Linked DNA regions of Ovis aries. The protein of the gene in region 1 purifies or fractionates together with the protein of each later gene. This does not show direct contact. Links are inferred from orthologs where the notes say so. Each region holds a gene or a part of one and is shown on either strand. Other genes may lie near its edges.

The links.
Region 2: the proteins of RBM8A (region 1) and NCBP3 purify together in Homo sapiens (co-immunoprecipitation; 3 studies listed by BioGRID and IntAct, with this or other methods). This does not show direct contact. The link is inferred for Ovis aries from reciprocal best matches to the Homo sapiens genes RBM8A and NCBP3.

What each region holds. Positions count from the first base shown.
Region 1 is NC_056054.1:99,248,717-99,259,174, forward strand, and holds RBM8A (RNA-binding protein 8A), read right to left. Parts: upstream 5,596-10,458; 5' UTR 5,538-5,595; coding exon of another isoform or gene 5,516-5,537; coding exon 5,434-5,515; intron 5,189-5,433; coding exon 5,129-5,188; intron 5,004-5,128; coding exon 4,926-5,003; intron 4,740-4,925; coding exon 4,603-4,739; intron 4,331-4,602; coding exon 4,194-4,330; intron 4,082-4,193; coding exon 4,036-4,081; 3' UTR 1,808-4,035; downstream 1-1,807.
Region 2 is NC_056064.1:24,358,155-24,367,859, forward strand, and holds the start of NCBP3 (nuclear cap-binding protein subunit 3), read right to left. Parts: upstream 9,600-9,705; 5' UTR 9,577-9,599; coding exon 9,400-9,576; intron 9,308-9,399; exon of another isoform or gene 9,102-9,307; intron 7,452-9,101; coding exon 7,386-7,451; intron 5,511-7,385; coding exon 5,405-5,510; intron 1-5,404. UniProt on the Homo sapiens protein: Associates with NCBP1/CBP80 to form an alternative cap-binding complex (CBC) which plays a key role in mRNA export. NCBP3 serves as adapter protein linking the capped RNAs (m7GpppG-capped RNA) to NCBP1/CBP80.

The DNA of each region.
Region 1 (10,458 bases):
AGAGTCAAATAAGTAGGCAATTACAATATAATGTCCAGTTAAGTGTTATGCTAAAGCTAAGCATAGGAGCTAAGGAACAATGAGGGGTGTCTGACCCACTTTTGGTCATTCAGGGAAAGCTTCCTGACTTCCCAGAGATATCAAAATTTCATTCTTGAAAGATAGGTGTTAGGACAAAGCAGGAGGAATGCTGGAGAAGGTGGAGGGTAGAAAATCTCAAAAGTAATCACAGTTAAAGTTGAGGGCTAGAAAATGGCAAGTAATGAGCCTGGAGGGGAAGGAAGAGCCAACTTCACAAATATTAAGCTTGTACTTTATCCTAAGGGCAGTGGGGAAACACTAAAGTAAAAGGCAGAGGGTAACATAATCAGATTTGTATTTTTTACTCTAGCTTTATTGTGTCAAAACTGAAACAAAAAGGTGCATCTGAACTTGAGTACCAATTAATCAAATCTCAGTATTGAAAACAAACTATAAATCTAGAAGAAGAAAAAAAAAAGCTAAATATGGAGCAATTCCTTCAAAACAAAACCACTAACACCATCTGGGGAAAGGGTGTAAAGCAGCATCTCTGAGCCTATGGTTGGGATTATGTCAGGGAGAGGGGTTAACATTTCAGTCTCTGGAATAATGCATTGTAGTCACATTTAAGATTGGATTCTTAAATCCTCAAATATTAGAAATGTAACTACCAAAATTAGTCTGACTGCAGTTCTAAGACAAACAAAAAATACTGCTTCCAACAGTATGTTGTAAACAGGACCCCTTTGCCTGTTGCCTCAGTGCAAAAGAAATTAATTAGGTTTATATGAAATTAATTTTAGAAGTGGACTGGGAATTAGAATTAGGACTGTTTTTGTTGTTTGTATTAATTTGCTCTGTTTTTTCTGAGTCTAGGCTCTACCACTAACTAACTGGATAACTTTGGCTAAATCACTTGAAATGCACAGACCACAAGATTATGGAATAGATGAATTTCATCCTTCCTTGGAGCCTGACAGTCCAACAATGCAATTTCTATTTGCTTCAATTGCAAACTGATGGTAACATGATTCAGGTGCAAAAGGTGTTATTTTGGGTTCCAAATTATCAACCTCTTTAAAAAAAAATTATCAACCTCTTGTATAAATTCTGCAGTGCCCATATGTTGCATTTAAAATGTCAATTAAAAATTGTTAGCATGGTCAAGGGAATATTGGTGTAGGTAGAAATTATTTTCATAGACTCATTTCCAAGTATCAGAAGTAAAGGTTTCTATAGTAGGTAGTAAAATATGAAATGCATATAAAATAGTCAAGAGGCTGGACTAAAATATAAGTCCCTGAACCTTGCCTGTTTTTAAACCTTCTTCTCACAAGTCAGATGTTTTCTAGGCATAGTGCCAAGCCATGCACACACACCACCCTCACCACACCACTCTCCCTGCCTGCTACGAAGCCCCACCACCAAAAGAAAAAAAAACAAAAACCCATCCAGGAATACATGGACTCAAGATAGGGGTAAAGGAAAGACCACTCCCCAAGTAGAACAGCCTGGTCATAACTCCAAGCAGTTCATAAAATCATGTCTCCGACTAATACTATTCACTTTTCCTAAAAGTCCCTCATGCCAGCTGAAATCCCTTTCTGAAAGGCCTCATATCTAGGAATTTGATACCTACTAAGTTTGCCTTTTATCAAACTAATACTGACTCAATCTACCTTACCTGAACTAAGGTACAAACCCTGAAGCTCTCAATTGAAAAATGCTCTTTACTGATTCAAACCAAAAACTAGTTTACCAAAAAAAGGAGGGGCAGCCAACAGCATTTGGAAAATGTTAAATTTTATTAATGTTATTTTACCATTATAATTATTGTACATAGGACTATAACTAAAGTCACTTTAGAGAGTGACTGCAAAATAGCCTGCAACTCTAGCACCTCCCATTTTATACAAGATTTATTTTTCCCACAGAATTAATCACAGACACATCAGGAAAATAATTTCAGCTAAAAACGGTGAGGGAAAAAAAATGTTGGTGAGGTGGTAGAGATATCCTCTTATAAATGGTAGATAGTACTCAAAAGACAGGATTCTTTTAAGTCCTGGATTTAATAAGCATAGCCTAAGAGGAAAATAGGGATTTTCAAGATACATTTCTAACCTTTTAAATATGACACCACAGATGTACCATTACTCAGCACTGAAGGGAATTAAGAATGGATTGAGATTATACACTGTATTAGCTCCCAAATTTCTTAACAATCACACACACAAAAACGAATGAATGAATCAGGAGGAGATAGTGTTAAATCGGTAGGTAGCTTGGCAGGGGAGAAGGGAGACCAGTTCTAATAGTCCTCGACTCCAATCTAGCTGTTCCTGTTCCACACTGTCCAAGTCTCTATGGCAAGAGATCATCTATAACCTCTTCACCTTCTGCTGCCTCTTTCTGAGGCCACTGACTGCAATGACCATCTGCTATAGCCGCATTGTCTGCAGTGTGTCCACTCCTCAGACAAGGAAGGGGAACCACAGTGAGACTCCAACCCCCAGGCCCTAACCCATACCCTAAAACTATTGTCTAGCCTCATTAATACGATAGCTATCTATCAAACCAAGGAGCTTGCCCAGTGGCTTAGTGGTAAATAATCTGCCTGCACTGCAGAACACTCAAGTTCAATCCCTGGGTTGGGAAGATCGCCTGGAAAAGGAAATGGCAGCCCATTCCAGTATTCTTGACTGGGAAATCCCATGGACAGAGGAGCCTGGTGGGTTTTAGCCTGTGGGGTCACAAAAGAATCCAATGCAACTTAGCGACTAACAACAAACTGTATCTCTAGCAGCTAAAGCCACACTAACTTCATTGAATGCTTTCAATTCTAACCAGCCACTAGCCATCACTCTCTGAAGTTGAGTTAGCTAGGCAAGAATTAAGGAGAAGGGAGATCAGTATTTTCCTTTGCTCTTGGACACCAACACTTCAAACAGACTTTGTAGCTTCATGTACCACAGCACCTCAATTGAAACCTTTTTTCCAGCTTGTCTGTCATAATCTCTGATGGGAAGGGAGCATATAGTCCCAGGCTGGGAAGGGGAGGAGGGCTTGCAGCATTCTCTTATAGAGGGAAGAGCTCTATCTCACAATTTCTGCCTATCAATTTAGAAGCTAAGTGGTTCTGAATTCGAGTGTATTTTCTAAATTCCCAGCCCCTGCAGGTGAATTTGCCGTCTGCCGCTCCTTAGACAATCACTCCCATGTTCGTCATCGGGCCCTACTACTGGCCCTACTTGTCCTGCTGACCTTCATCTTCTGCTGGACACCTTACTACCTTCTGGGTCTTTGGTACTGGTTCTCTCCCACCATGCTAACTGAAGTGCCTCCTAGCTTCAGCCACATCCTTTTCCTCTTTGGCCTCCTCAGTGCTCCTCTGGATCCTCTCTTCTGTGGGGCCTTCACCTTTGGGCGCCAAAGACGGCATCAAGAACATAGTATAGACTCCTCCAGGGAAGGAGGTTCTGGAAGAGTGCCCCAACAGGAGATTCAAGCTCTGAGACAGATGGAAGTACAAACAAATGTAGCAACAAGAAAGGCAGGAGAGAAAAAAGAGACATCTCTATGATACCACTTGCTCAGGACAGCATATATAGGAACAGAATGAATGATTATTCCTTACTGTCATGAGAACATCTTACTTCTACCCTTGCTCTCTTAGCTTCAAAGAAAAAGAAATACTGAGCAGTGTCTCTACTTGACCCTGACACTGGAGACTGTATCTAACGTAGAAACTCACACAGAATTCAGTCCCTGGGAGAAATATCTTCACAGTGACCCATACTGTCTCACTGTAAATAGTACTCCAGAGCTTGCAATATTAGAAAAGGAAAGTAATTAGAAAACAAAAATTGTACATTTATTCATAATTCAAAAGAAACACTAAACAGTGTAACAGATTAAATATAAACACAGTGAGTTCCACCCCAGCTGTATTTCTCCAAGGTTGCATGGTCAAATGGAATCTCTGGAGAGAACACCTGAACAACAGAGGATGGGTCAGCGACGTCTCCGGTCTGGACTCCTGCTGCGTCTCCGACCACCTCTAGAAAGAAGGAAAAGGGGCAGGGTCCATGAGAGGAACATAATACTATGTCCTTATTCTGCTTTGCTCATATTCCTTCCACTAAGATAATGTTTTGCCCTCTGCACTTTACCTCCTCTTGCCCTTGGGTGGACCCCGAACAAAACACCAGTCCACGCTGATTGGCTGTCCCATCAAATCCTGGCCATTGAGTCCCTCCATAGCAGCCTGGGCCTCCTTGTATGTTTCATACTCAACTAGAGTATACCCCTAGAACAGGAAAAAAACAGATCATCAAAACTCCATCAAGCTCTTTTCTACTCAACTAGGAAAATCTATCAACCTTAAACAACAAATGCACGTCACATCCCTATTATACATACAACTTGTCTGTCTGTTTCTGCCTCTTTGCTATGTCTAACAATCAATTCCCAATCTCATTTTATTTCAACTCTTGGCCAACCACAGCCAACGTGGGAGAACTACCAATGCTGTCTAAGGGTTATGGATGAAGAGAAGCAATGGAGTATGGCTCAGGATACCTTTAGATATCCTGTACGTCTGTCCAGATTGAGGTGGATATTTTTTATTTCTCCATACTCTGCAAATTTATCATGGATGTCTTCTTCTGTGGCTTCCTCATGGACTCCAGTGACAAAGAGAATCCAACCTTCAACAGCTGTAGGTAGGGGAACAGAGGAAAGTTGTTTGAGCACAACAAACACTTCAGCGAGATCACATAAGTAGTGTGTGTGCAGGCTCCACAGAGATTGGTTAAGCGACCTCTGACTCCATGCCTACTGGGTTTTACTTCATTGGTCCCTAACTCTGTACAGACAGATCCCTACAGGTTCCATTTACTTACAGCGTTGTGGTCCGGGTTCATCGCCATCCTGCTCCACGCTGTCATAATCCTCACGCATCCGCGCTCGAGAACCCTCTTCTATTAGAAACACACAGCAGATCACCGGAAATCCCCCTTCTCCTACTGTTCACCGTAGGTCTGAATGGGGATTCCAAAACTCGTAGCTCTCTCCATTCGACCCCATTCCACCCACAAACACTCACCGGAGCCAAAGCCACGGCCCTTCCGTTTCTTCGCTTTTTCTTTCAGTTTGTGGATGCTCTCTGGAGCCCCAGAAGAAAAGGAATAAGTGAGAAAGGTAACAGTTGTTTACAATATTCTCTCTGCAAGACATTATCTGAAAGCAAACCCCACCACCTCCAGGCTGTCCCTCCCGGCCCGCCCCTCTTCCTCCCAAAGGGGGCGGAGTCTCCAACCAACAGAACCCGGTTCCCTGGCTCGTCCCTGGCTCGTCTCCTCCCTACTGGGGACAAAGATTATATTTTCCTAAAACGTCCTTCTCTCGCACCTTCCCCGCTTCCCGCAGCCGCCTCCACTGTCCTCACCGTCCCCATCCTCATCCATGGCGAAATCCTCGCCCCCAGCCTCATGAAGATCAAGTACGTCCGCCATCTTTCCTTCCCTCCAACTCTCGTCCGTGCCGCTCAGGCACTTGGCTCCTCGGGAAACTGTCGCGGAAGGAAAAGGTCATCAATCAAGTTGACCAATCAAAAACTAACACTAGGTCCCGCCCTCTGCGCGGTAAAAATACGCAATGGAGGCGGGCCTAGTTAGGGAAGATAACGGAAGTGTTACTGTAGCCATCTTGAGCGGGTCAAGAGCAGACCGCGGCGCCCGTGGGCGGCGAGGTAGGGGGTGGGTGGGGCTAGTGAGTTCCTCTTAACCAGAGCTTCGGACATGACTGAGCGCCTAACACTAAGCATCGAAAAGTAACTACTGACGTGAAAAGTGAAAGTGTTAGTCGCTAAGTCGTGTCACTTCTTTGCGATCCCATGGGCTGTAGCCCGCCAGGCTCCTCTGTCCATGGAGTTCTCCAGGCAAGAATACTGGAAGGGGTTGCCATTTCCTTGTGAAGCCCAGCCAAATTTTTATTAGCGGGTTGCTTTTCGTCTCTTTTCTTTCCATACCAGGAACTGGAAGCTGAAGAAAGTTTTTTCTCTAAAAACTTGCAGGCCTGTACTGTACCGAAGAGCAGCCGGATCTCTGATGGAAGCACTAAAAAAAAAAGTTAAGTCAGCAATGCTACCTCAAAAAGCTGCGTCTGGAACGTACTGTTCAGTTCAGTTCAGTTCAGTCGCTCAGTCGTGTCCGACTCTTTGCGACCCCATGAATCGCAGCACGCCAGGCCTCCGGGTCCATTACCAACTCCCGGAGTTAACTCAGACTCACGTCCATCGAGTCCGTGATGCCATCCAGCCATCTCATCCTCTCTTCCCCTTCTCCTCCTGCCCCCAATCCCTCCCAGCATCGGCTTTCTCTCAAGAAAATCAGCCGACCTGGTTTCCCGTGAAATACTATTGATGAGACACGTATCAACTTTTCTTTTTTTATTTAATAATGTCTCAGGAAATTCCCTGGCGGCTCCGCATTTTTACTTCGGGGGCCCCGTTCAGTTTATGGTGGGGGAACTAAAATCCTGCAAACCCGGGGTCACGCACCCGCCCCCCAAATTAAAAATAGTCTCTTAAATTCTACCCACCGCTTCTGGGAATTAAGAAAAAGTGATTTTAAAGAAAACAGAGGCTTTAGCTTCTTTGAGGATAGTACAGATATTTCACGTTTAAAAACCCAGGAGTTGAGGAAAAAGAATATTGCCCCCACATTCTGGAATCCGACATAGGCCTTAAAAAACAGTAGTGGATAAGTAGTCATTTATTAATTTTAAAATCAGTTGTGAATGCCTATATGTGTGTCTAATAGTAGAGGTGCTAGCAATACAAGGGGAAGTACAGCATCAACAATCACTTTATAATAATATTATGAAAGTGATCATTGCTATTACAAGGTACTACAGCAATACAAGTTTCTAATAGGACTGGAATTAAGGAGAGTGCATTTAAGGGAGGGCTTCCATTTAAACTGTGCTTGTAAGGCTGTTTTGCTTTCCAGGCAAAACAGCTGTATTGAAACTAAGATACATTAATCCATTCTCTACAGTACATAGTATGATCTTTAAAAAAAAAGTCACATCTCTACTGAAATCCCCCTTACTTATTTTTGCACTTAGAATAAAATTCCGACTCACAGCCTGATCTGCCTATGTCTCCAGACTGTTTCACCACCATTCTTCCCTCTCACCTATTACTTTACTATACTTTTCTCAACTATGTTTACTCCCTATACTCAATTGTGTTGTACACTTTCTCATCTCTGGACATTTTGTAACTTTCTGCCCCTGATGAGCTTCCTCCAGCTTTTCACATGGCTGGTTCAACCCCATCCTGTAGGTCTCCCTGAAATCCTGCTGTCACTCAAAGGAGTCTTCTCTATTCTATCCTTCACTCTTATTTCCTTCACAGAACTTAAAATCAAATCTTGAATTACTTTGTTTACTTTCTAGTTTGTTTACTGTCTTTCGCATTGGCAGAGATTCTTATTTACAACTATATCCTCAAAGTTCAGACCAGTGCCTGATCCATAGCAGACAATTGCTAAATACATATCCAATGAATATCAGGAGGGCAAGAAATTTTTTATGCCTGATGCTGTCTAATTAGAAAACAAAGTTGGAAATATAGTTTAGGGTCAAACTGTATGTCATGCTAAAAATTTGGAACTTACCCTATAGGCAAGAAATTTTTTTAATTCAATATTTTAGTATTCATAATTTTTAACATTTGCAAGTAGCCCTCATACTATTTTTGACTTTTTCCTTAAATAGACTGGCATTTTAAATTTATGTGCTCTGCTGTGCTTAGTTGCTCAGCCATGTCCACCTCTTTGCAACCCCATGGACTGTAGCCTGCCAGGCTCCTCTGTCCATGGAATTCTCCAGGCAAGAGTACTGGAGTGGGTTGCCATGCCCTCTTCCAGGGGATCTTCCCAACCCAGGAATTGAACCTGGGTCTTCCACATTGCAGGTAGGATTCTTTACCATTAAGCTATCAGGGAAGCCCCAAACAAATTTATACTGTTTAAATATCACTGCCATCAGTGGAGACCATATTTTTCTATTACAAATTCAGATAAAAGCATAACTAGTAAAAATGAAAAATGTTTGGCCATCTACCACCTAAAATCTTGTCAGATAATGCCAAGGGTTCACATATAAAACTTTGGGAAGTTCTGCTAAAGGTAAAGATAGCTAGATGATAGTTTAAGCAAGGGAGTGGTACAGTGATAAGTATTTTAGAAAGAAATCCGATAGTAATGTAGAGGACATGAAGAATGAAGGTAGAGATAATTGCAGTGGTCCAGCCCTGAGATGCTAAAGGAATGAACCAATTCAGTATATATGGACAAAACAGATTAGAAGTTTATATAGGGGTAAACTCAACAGTAAGTGATTGACTAGATGATGGCAAAGAGGAATTGAAGGATCTCAAGGAGAATTGAAGTTCTAGGTTAGATTCCTAGGCAGTAATTTCAGTAACGTGGGGAGTCAAAGAGGAGCATGTATGGAGAAATGGGTTTTATTTTAGGTAAGTAAGTTCAAAGAGCTTGTGTCATTCAGGTGGTAATGTGCAATGTGTGGAAATACAGATGTAAAAGCTCAAAAGAAGTTGGGGTGGAAGGAACAGGTTTGAGAACTGTGTGTATGATAGAGTTTAAGCCACCACAGTGGGTGTGACTGCTAGTGGAAAAGGGCAGAACTTGAGGAGAAAGGGTCAAGAACCAAATTCAGGCTCCTCAAATTTCTGGAGAAGGGGAGGCAGATGCCTTCTCCCAGCAGTACAATCTTATTTCTTCCACCCTAAAAATACTAAGAAAAGTTCTTTTTTGAACTTTTTTAAAGAGGGTCATTTTAGAACTTCTCTGATACATGGGTCTCAAGAAAGAGTCGATATGGCTCACTAGACAAAAATCTATTTTTAATTATATAAAATTATACATATAAAATACATAGAGAGTACTAAAAAGGTAAGTAAAAATTTAACACCAAAAGTGGACATATCAGGGAAGAATTTTTCTCCAAGTTCTTTGGGACCTTACTGGTTGGTATTTGAGAAAAATAATCAAGGAGATGCAAAGACAAGTTCTTTCCATAATTCACACCCCTTCCCAGAGAAATCAGCAAAGGAGAAATGAGGGTTTGTGATTTCTGGATTATAAACATAAATACAAACTGAATAGACACACCTATTATTTAAAAGCAGTGAGCCTCTGCTCCAACCTTACATGTGTTTCATGGAATACAGAGATGGGGCTTGGAGAATTCAAGGAAATCCCTTTCAAGTACTAATACAACTGTTGTTAGATTCCTTACCTCTGATCCCATATATACTGGTCACTAAGATGATTTCAAAAGCAAGAAAGCAGACTTTCATCTTTTCCCTATCTGATCCAAATGTGCAAATTGTAGCCTGTTTCCTAACCTATTTCTAAAAGCAAAGTGTATAACTGTTAAACGGAAAGTGTAATTACAGGAATATTAAATTTCCCAAACTCAGTTTAGGAAGTGCACTGAGCTATAGTAAAGTATAAAGGTGATTACAGAAACAAGAAGAAAATATATCTTAGAGAGATGTACAAAAAATTCTCCCAAAGGGGAATGCTTTAGCTATACTCCAGATCATCTTTCTCCTATTTTACCCAGAAAAGAGGTAAGGGAAGAGAATAGTATTCATATTAAAAACATAAGTAGCTGATCATTGATTCTTTTTCCCTTCCTGAAATTTCTCATGGTTCCTATTAGGAAGTGCCATTATGCCAAAGTATCTTCTAATTTTCCTGATCAGCTCATGCTCTAATAATCATTGTGGAGGAAAAGGAAAGAAAAGAGGAACACCAATGTGAATCTAGTTATATACATCTAAGGTCATAAACAGTAGCCACTTCATGGGAGTAGGAGGAACATAGCCCTCACCAAATTGGACAGATGTTTCCAAAAACCAAAATGATAGGAGGAGGTTTTTAAGAAAGGGAAATATGTTTTACCTTCTACCAATCTTTGCAGCAGAAAGATCTATAGACAGGGTTTAACTAAGCTTGGTGAGCAGGGGAGGAGTGAAAAGAGAATATTGAAAGATAACTTCAACCCTTACCCATTCAATAGATTCTGGTATGGTATGGCATCTATGCCCCAGAAGCAAAACAGGTGATAAACCCCTGCAGGCTGTGTTTATAATTCCTCTCTTCTTCCTGGGAAGTTTCTCAGCAATGATTTTAAAATTAAGAAACCACCAGCTCTCCACTTCCCTTTCAAATAATAAAGTGAGGAAGCCCTAAAATGAAGTACTGTTTGGAGGCAGAAGAGAAGTAAGGTGGTAGAGTGGTGTGGTGTAGGTTATGAAATAACCTAGTTGCTGAGGGAACAACTTGGTACCAAGTAGGCCCAGCTCAAGATGAAACCAAAGCCAAAGCTTTCATTTGC
Region 2 (9,705 bases), on another chromosome or scaffold:
GGCCACGCAGAGTGACTCTAACATGCAGGGTGGGAAACTGAAGGGGTAGCCCAGGGAACTTTCTCAGTTCTTCAAACTAAGTGCCATGATTTTGGAAGAAAAAAATCCTATGAGAAGTAAAGAGCTGGTTCTGAAGAAGGTAACAAACAAGAAGGAGAGCTCCTGGTGAAGGAAGAGGAAACAGACTAAGGAGCAAGAGAAAAAAATCTTGAAGATGCTGATACAAAGAAGGATTTAATCATATGTGAGACAAGCTCAAGATACGATGGAAGCCTGCCAAAGCAGAATGTCAACACTTCGTCACCTTGCTGACAATGTCACTGCTTAAAATAAAACAAAGCAACAAAGACAGCACCTAGATTTAGGCCCAGCTGATGAGCAAGGACTAACTGCTGAGGTGGCAGTAAACAGATGAACTGGGGAATGAGAACTGGGTGTTTACCAAGTGCTGACTACAAGCAAGGGGGTAAGGGAACCATCTTCCCTTCCAACAGGGAAGATCCCAATTACTGACAGGCAGCGGTACACAAAGGGCTCTACGGTGGCTCAGACAGTCAAGAATCTGCCTGCAGTGCGGGAGTCCTGAATTCGATCCCTGGGTTGGGAAGATCCCTTGGAGGAGGACATGTGGCAACCCACCCAGTATTCTTGCCTGGGGAATTCCCATGGACAAAAGAGCCTGGCAGGCTACAGTCCGTGGGGTCACAAAGAGTCAGACATGACTGAGCAACTAAGCACAGTACACAAAACTCAAGTTTTTAGGAAAGCAGATTTCTGAAAATCCAAAGAAGCAGTAGTCAGTCCAAGCCTAAGATCAGAAGGATTAAAAAACCTGGAAGACACTAAATACAGTAACTCAGAGTATGAGAGGTGATCCCAAGAAAAGAGAAAGCAGCAAAGCTTAGCTGAGCATGACTTGCCAAAGAACACATATGGGAGATGGATAAAGGGCAAATTAATAAATATAAGAGAATAGATGTAAGAATCTGAAAAACTGTGTCAGGCTCTGAAGCAACACAAAGTGCCGATGACAGACTGTCACGTGAAGAGAAAGAAAGCAGCGTGACTACAAGGGGAAACAAAAATAAAGTCCACACTCAGAAGAGATTAGAAGGAAACCCGCAAAATGCTGACAGTGACTGGGTTTGGGCGGCGGACTGTGCGCAACCTTTCTTCTTACTTCACTCTCCAAATGTTTTTTGGTGGACATGAACTGTCTGTTTAACATCTAAAGAAGAAAAGGTTATAGTCCAGAGCCAACAGGCTCAACAAAAATGCTGATGGTTGGTTTTATTTACAAGTGTTTGGAGCAACACTGCTTTGGGAAGATGATGCAGGAAAAAGGGCAGGACTGTTGATCAATTTTGCTACAGTACTAACGGACAGCAGCACCTATCATTAAGTAAGAACCAAAACCCAAGACAGGTAACAAGGGCTTTAGAAATAGTTTTTTTTTTTTTTTAATCTTTTGGCCTTGTCCTGTGGCATATGGGATCTTAGTTCCCTGAGGAGGGATCGAACCCATGCTCCCTGCACTGGCAACACAGTCTTAATCGCTGGACTGACAGGGAAGTCCCCAAGGAATAGTTTTAACAGATTCAAACCATCTAGTTTAGAGTTATACCCTATTATACTGACTAAAACACGAAGCAGTGATTTCACAATCGGGTAATAATCTCTAAGATTACTGCAGGGAAGGAGCAAGGTACCTTAAACTTTAAGGACTGATCCCATACTGACTTTCATAAAAGAAGAAAAGAGAAATTCCCAAACAGATCAAAAAGACTGTCATTCTCAGAAATGTTTAAAATACAGCTTAGACAGAATCTCTGATCCCTTAAGAAACCAAGTCTTTCCCATAGGAAATGATAGGCCAAGCAGCAAGCCAGCTGACCTCTTCTCTTTTTTGACTGGATTAGCAGGCCAAGAAATTCAAAGAAGACCACAGATGGTATTCTACCTCAAGTTTATTAAGGCACGTAAGCTAGATCCCCACGACAATAAAACAGGAGACGGGCCAGAGAACAGAATAAGACTAACATTCATGGATCTGTGTGTCACGGCATGACATGGGATTATCCTGTTAGACGTCTACCAACAACTGGATGAACATGCAGAAGCCATACCAAAGGGGGGAGCGTAGCTAAAATGTTGAAGGGCAGAATTAAAACGAACGTAACTCCACAGGTGGAAACGGAGTCTTGAAATCACGATGGAACTTAATAAGGACAAATAAAAAGGCAAGTTTTTAAAGGACACAATAAGAAAGACTCTTTCGACAGGTGCAGTTCCTGGGGGAAAGAACTGGTGCTCTGGTTGGCTAGAAGGTGACTACTACGAAGCGGCCAGGACAGACACCGTGGTCAGAGTCCTGCCAAGCACTCCACAAATCCAAGCAAATCTGGAATCTGCACCTCGCCTGGTGAAGCACAGCAAGAAACTGAGCAGGCTCTAAAGGAGGGAGACCACAAAGCCTTGTCACTTGAGAGAGTCCAGGGCACAGGCTGTCCATTCCTTCACCTGCAGAGTTACTGTGTGAACGAGGAAATGACTTAATGTTCTTCTAAGAGTTATGCAGTAACTAACAGATAGAAATTACTAGAAAGCAATTTGTTTTCAACATGAAGATGTATCCAAAAACAAGACTGACCGCTTCATAAATAGCTCTCATGCCACCACTAAGAACTGTTCAGGCAGAGGCCACAGACTGTTGGGAACTTTGCCTAAAGGCCTGCAGCACAGGGCCAGAAATGGGACCCAGATGACTCTTAAGGTCCCTTCCAACCATGAGGGCATTGACCTTGGAGATAAAAAGATCCAAGCTGCTTAACACCCAGTCACTCAAGAGTAGCAGGTCATTCAATACAGACTGGTCTAGCACACTGCATCCCTGAAACGAGCAGAGACGTCAGGAACACAGGCTTCAGTCAGACCAGCCTTCTAAGTCACCCTTGCTACTTACTCCCTGTGGGACTTTGGGCAAGTTTCTCAACTTCTCAGCATCTTCCTTTCCCCACCAGTAAAACAGAAATGATAAAACTTTCCCTGCAATGGGGTTGCTGAAAGGGTACATTAAGCACACAGCAGAGTGACTGCCACGTGGGGAGCACTTATAGAATGGTATATTTCATCACTGTTGATGTTAATAAGAAGAAATAACCCGGTACCTTACTGTGGCTGCAGGAATCGAGATGTTTATTCCAATGTCCCCATTCTCACAAGAGGCTGGGCCACTTAAATGGCTGTCTGGAAGATGGAGAATGCCAGATAATAATAATAACTAACATTTACTATGTGCCAGGCACCACTCTAGGAATCCTAACATTTTGTTAGAACCTCCCAACAACCCTGTAAGAACTAAGTTAACCTGACTTTCCAGATGAAGATACTGAGGTTCTTAGAGGCTAAATAACTTGCCTAAGATCACAGTTAGAAGGTGACAAGTCAAGATTTGAATATAGACAGTCAGGCTTCAGAATCCACGCTCTTAGGGTACAGTTAACCCCGACTGTACAACAGAATTACCAGGGGAGATGAAAAAATAGTAACTCTGAGATTTATCCAAACCTACCCCCTACTCTAAATCGATCTGTGAAAGGCAGCAGGGTTATCTGGAGTTCAAGAACACAGTCTGAAGCCATGCTGCCTTCTGGGCCAAAAACAGGTTGTAATGAGCCACTGATAGTTTAGGGAGATCTACGGTCTTTTATGAGTATCTTCAGAATCATGAGATCAAGACTGTTTTTCAAAAAGCATTTTTTTTTTAATTAAAATTTAACCCCAAAAGAAGAGGTCCTATTCAGGAGGGTATCATATTCCCATTTTATGAACAAAGAAAATGAAACCTAAAAAGGTTCACTAACTCCCCCACATTCACTAAGGAACTGAGACTGGATCCCAGGAGGGCTCCGGGCTCAGAAGAGCCCCAGCACAGGTGGGAAGAGAGACTGACGAGGGTAATTAGGGATGCTGCAGAGGGCGTGACATCTGAACCAGACAAAGTGTGGGACAAGGAAAGACGAATCAGCAGGGTGACAGGCATGAACGAGATCAGAGGCAAGATGCCACATGGAACGCGCCCAGGACTAGAAGTAAACAGGCGCGGTGTGAAACCACAGTGCGTCCAAGGTGGGGCTGTGGGAGAGGCCTCAGACGTCTGTGTGGGTCCAGTGTGCGGGCACACGAACGACCAGCTGCACAGCTGGCCCTGGCCTTCACAGGACTTTTCCTGAAACAGACAACCACTCGAGCAGATGCCTGGAAACCTAGCCTGCGAGGCAAGCAAGGTCATGTTTCCAAATTGAACACGATGCAGAATAAAAACAGTGAAGTAGCATCCAGAGTTGAGCTACTCTGACCACTGGGAAGGACTGAGGCGGCCTGGGTCTCTGCTATCATGTCATACATTGTAAGGCAACAGAGCAAACAGTTAAAAGCAAGGCTTTAGGGTCAGATAAATCTGAGTTCTAATCCTGACTCCACTTTTACTAGTTGTGTAAACCTGCGCATTTATTTAATTTCTTTGAGCCTGTTTCCTTCTTTGTAAACTAGGGATAAAAATATATTCCTCGTGGGGTTGTTGTGAGAAATGAGTACGAAACAAATATGTAATGTGCTAACACAGCGCCTCATAAGAGAGCAAGTTCCCGACAAATAGTAGCTACTCTTCCATTCATTCAACATGTTTTTATCAAATAGGCAAACCTAGAGAAACTCATACAGCAGAGCACAGACCTTTAACGTGCCTTCAGATGGCTGCCTATTAAAGCCCTTCGCCAAGTCTCCAATTTGCAAATACAACAAAGGCAGATCATTTGCATTTACGGGATAATAAACATGGCTGTGAACTCACGAAAAGGGAAGCAATAATTTTCCCTTCTATTTATAAACTGTCTTCAAAATCTGGGGTAGGTTATCATATTTAAGAATTCAGGGTGAGTTTCAGGAAGCAAAATACTTAACCTTAATAAAACACAAAAATAAAGTAAAATCACAAACCTGGATCAACAGAAGTATTAACGGTATCCCTCACCAATCTGACTCCTCTAAAAGAGTCTCACTGCGATACACTCCTGCTACATTTAAAGGCAAAGAAAAGTGAACACTTCTACAATAAAGCAGAAAATGAGTAAGAGTCCCACAGAGCCACAGTTCTAATCGCCGATCTGCCACCAACTCCATGAGGTTCTCTGGGGCTCCTTAGACAGTATCCTGAAGTTCTGACACAGCCAAATGAATACACACACACACACACATACACAAAACACTGAGACACAGCTAACGCAGCTCATCGCTAACAGGCCACCTCAGAAGCGGCGAATTCACAAGTTCCACGTGAGGTGAGGCCAGAAGCACAAGGCCGTGGCAAGGAAACTGCGGAAAACTCCCCCCAAACACCCTGTACCTTTCTTCATCATGTCTCGGTCCAAGGCTACATTTCTTTGGGCAAGATTTACTTCTGATCGAAAATGGAAGCGCTTGGCTCGCTGCTCCTTCTTTTCAATCGCTTCCTAGAAGGTGCAGAAAAAAAGCCAAAGAAGTGAAATGTGGAGGAGAGTTAAATCACAAACATCACGTGATACACTGGCTTGACAAGCAACTCAGAAGGTATGAACAACACTGTGCCTTGCCTCATTGTTGCAATGAACAGGGTATTGGCAATGGCTGGCAGAGTGGGCGCTAGCAGTGCTGCAATCTGTCATCATCTCGAGGACGACTCAGTGCCTATCAATGTATCTGTGCAGAAACCGGGGCACAAAAAAGCTAAAATGTTTGCCAGGGGCACTTCAGCTGGTAAGGGGCAGATCTTCTCAGCGCTATTTCTAGAAGCCCCACCACCGCCCCCATTTCACATCGTCTGTGTGCATGGTAATCACACCTATCACGTTATGTCTGCCTGAGCAGTCCACTCCCTAAAGCTTTTTTTGTGTTTAAAAATAACACTGAAGCCAAGAAACTCTCTCCTCTATTCTAAACTTGTGTCCACAGAATTGCCAGTTTTCATCTTGAAGTGAAAAGAAGCACTGATGCTTTCTGAAAAACCAAATAATCAGCTTCCTAATTTTTTTTTTCCCCAAGAGCTAAAATATACCCAGGTCCAACTGTGGGTTTCTGATAGCTCTTTGGAACCTTCACTAATTGTATATTGACTTTGCCACACTAATTGAAGGTCTGACTATAGAAAGCTTCTGGGGATTGGTAAGGCAGCAACACTTCTGTTATTTCCCAATAGTTATGTTAATTTTCTCCACTGAAGTCTTCCCACTGGAAACAACTAGTTTACCTTCCTTTGGTAAGAACCAAAGTACCAATTCTTGGCTACCACCCTTTCCACTATATATTTGTTTCAAATAATGGTAAATTGTGTAGGCTTAAGAACAGGACTGCATACTGCTTTTTCAGTTTCAGTAAGAAAACACCTTCACTTCATTCTATTTTCCTGTCAAAAAAGATGATCAGTTCTTTCTTTTTGCCTTTAAGCAATCTGAGACAGATTGAGACCCAGATAAAACACAAAAAAATAAGCATGACATACTTATTTTTATTTTTGCTTTCATACATCCAATATAGTAACACCGTTTTATTTATTCAGAGTTTTAATTCAACTCTTTAAATGGCACACATTAAAATCAGAAAGAATGTTTAAGCTGAATATCAACACCAATTAAAGCAACAAATAAGTACTGATTGTAAGGAAAATAATGTCTGGTTCTGTGAAGAGCTGCAATGAAGCTGGTAATCTAGTAACAGCTATCACCAGATAAAAGGCAATACTCCCAGGCAGTGAAAACAATTCAGTCCACTTGGCCTTCAAAGTTTAGCCACATAGTCATGAAAGGCTATTTTTCTAGGCCTCAATCAGTGAGGAATAAAGACATTTACTAAAGGCCTACTATGTGCCAGACACTTTTATGCTTTGCTTCATTTAAAGTGGAAACAGTTTACACATTTTTTAAAAAAATGGATAGGGACATCCACCTGCCAATGCAGGGGACCCAGGTTCTACTCCTGGCCAGGGAACTAAGATCCCACATGCTGCGGGGCAACTAAGCCTGTGCTCGGCAACAGAAGATCCCACGTGCCACAACTAAGAGGTGACACAGCCAAATAAACATGTATGTAAAAGGAACACACAGAACTTTTTCTTGGACATGGTTAAGCACAGGCATCTAGTGATTTTATCTTCTCATGGATTCAAGAAAACACAAATGCTGCCTGAATGTTCTCAGGCATCATTGTGAAACACAAAATATAAACTTAAAAAGGCTTAATCCAACAACAAAAAAAGGTGGTAAAGAATAACTGCTGTTCTACAAGTCCTAGGGACTTGCTCATTAAGTTCAACCGCTTCTCAAAATGAATAAATGAATCATGGTGTATCTTACCTTGGAGGTGACATCAATTCCAGTGATGAAGCTGCCAGCCTTGTTTTCATATCTTCTGCTTGTGTCCTAACACCAAGGGGATGGGTGAGAAATGCTAACAGGCAACTGAGGACAAGCACACGATAAACAACAGCCTGACAACCCATTCCTTCTGGATAGTCTTTTCAGCAATCTGTTCCCTACCCTGACAACCCTTTATTATGAGGAAGCCTGTCCCAGTGACTCCATGGTAGCAATCAACCACTCTACCAAGAAGCTTTTTCTAAATCAGAGCCTGCCTGTCCACAACCTAAAGTAATTCCATCTACTGAAGGTATCCGTGTAAATGAAAATCCAAAGGCATTCATGAGAAATATCCACGATGAGGTACAGTCACTCATCTCCCCGGCTCAGACTAGACAAATTCATTGTGCCAGGCCACCAGATGGGGCACAAGTCTTCACTGAAATGCAGAAAGTCCAGGCTCACCTCGACCTTCTGGGGAAAACACTACACTGTGCAGTGAAACAGGATGAGACTCGGCAGCCGGGGGACTCAAATCACAGCTCTAAGCTTCGCTGGTTACAAGACACTGTACAAGCCCCCTGGCTTCTCTGGACCTAGGTTTCTTCTGTGGCATCTGCCTACCTTTCTGACCTCTTTTACTGCTCTCCCACTTGTGCTACTGAACTTTCTGTTCCTCCAATAAAACAATCTTGTTCCCATCTCAGAGCCTCTGGGTTTACTAAGTTGCCCCTGCTGGGAACAAACTCTTCCAGATCTGCACATGGCTGGCTCCTTTCTGTCACTTAGGGTCCAGCTGAAATGTCACTATCTCAGAGGACTTTCCTGGTGATCCTGTGGCATTCTGCTTCCTGCTCTCCACAGCTTCCCTCTGCACTCTTCCACCCCATTAACGTGTTTTATTCTCTCCACAGCATTCACCACTTTGGGAAATTATTGGTTAACTTGTGGCCCCCAACTGGAACATAAACTCCAGGACAGAGTCTGACCTTGATCTTGATCAAGTGGCTAGGACTGTGCCTGCCACAAAGTGTTAGGGATACAACAGCTCACGTCCAACGGAATGAATGAAGGGATGACAACATCTACTTCTCAACTTCCTTGATATTTAAATGATAACATGTAAACCACTATGTTAACTGTTGTTGACAGAGTCATTATAATTTACAATCTGTAGTGCTCCTACATTTTTTAAAAACCTTCTTCCATGATTTCAGCTTAAAATCAACACTTGCAGACATGTGGCAAAAAAGTGGACCAGGTCAGATGAGAAATTAAGTACCAATACACAAGAAGAGCCACGCAGGCCTGAGACCAGCCCTACGAACATCAGGCCACCAAACCACAAGCAAAACACCTCTCCTCATCCTACTGTGACAGAAGAGAGGGACCAAGGACCACTGCTGGCTCGCTGATGTTCTGATTCCCCGAAGGGTGAGATGCTGGAGGCACGGTGTAGCAGTGGAGGCGCGCGGGGACGAGATGACCCTCAGGTCACAACAGAAACACTGAGTTTCTGCAGCTGACCAGCCCAGCCCTCCCGAGGGAAACCGCGGGTGCTCTGGTTAACAAACACCAGCTAAACCGGAGCAGGATGCCCGCGCCCCGCTCCCCGACAGTTCCTCTGGGCCGCTCCAGGTTGTGTCCCCGCCCGGGGGGGGCTCCCTCTTTATCTCAAACCGCACCCCCCCGACAAGCCCTAACCCTCCTCACTTGTCCTCTTGCACAGAGCGGCTCGGAGGGGCAGCGAAAGGGGTGTCCTCAGCTACCACCCCAATTTCTCCGACCCCTCCTCCTCAAGCCCCCTTAACACCCATTTCCGGGCGCCCGGGCGTCCTTTCTCTCGCTCCTCCGACTCTGCTCCAGTCTGGCGCCCCCGCCCCCCGGGCGCTCGCCCCGGTGCCCCCCTCCCCAGACTTCCCCTCCGCCCCGGCCGCCTCCCCTTCCGGCTCGCTCGAGCGCGGGACACTCGCTCTGCGACCTCCTCCTCGCCCCCGCCCCCCGCCCGTACCGGGATCAGTTCTTTCAGCGAGCGCCGAACCGGCACGACCTCTAGTTCGCCCTCCTCCACCTCCATGGGCTCCGGTTCGCCTCGGTCCAAACCCGCTTCAGGCGACGGGAGCCCCAAGGCCGGCCCCGCCGGGGCCTCCGCCTTCACCGACACTCGCAGGCCCCGTACGGCCGCCATCGCCTCCCGCCGGCCGCACCACTGAGAGCCCGCCCGGCACACTGCGGGCTAGAGCGTCGCTGCTACTGGCCACGGAGCAGCCGCCACTACCTAGAGCGTCACCTTCTGCGGCCAGAAAGCCTTCTTAGG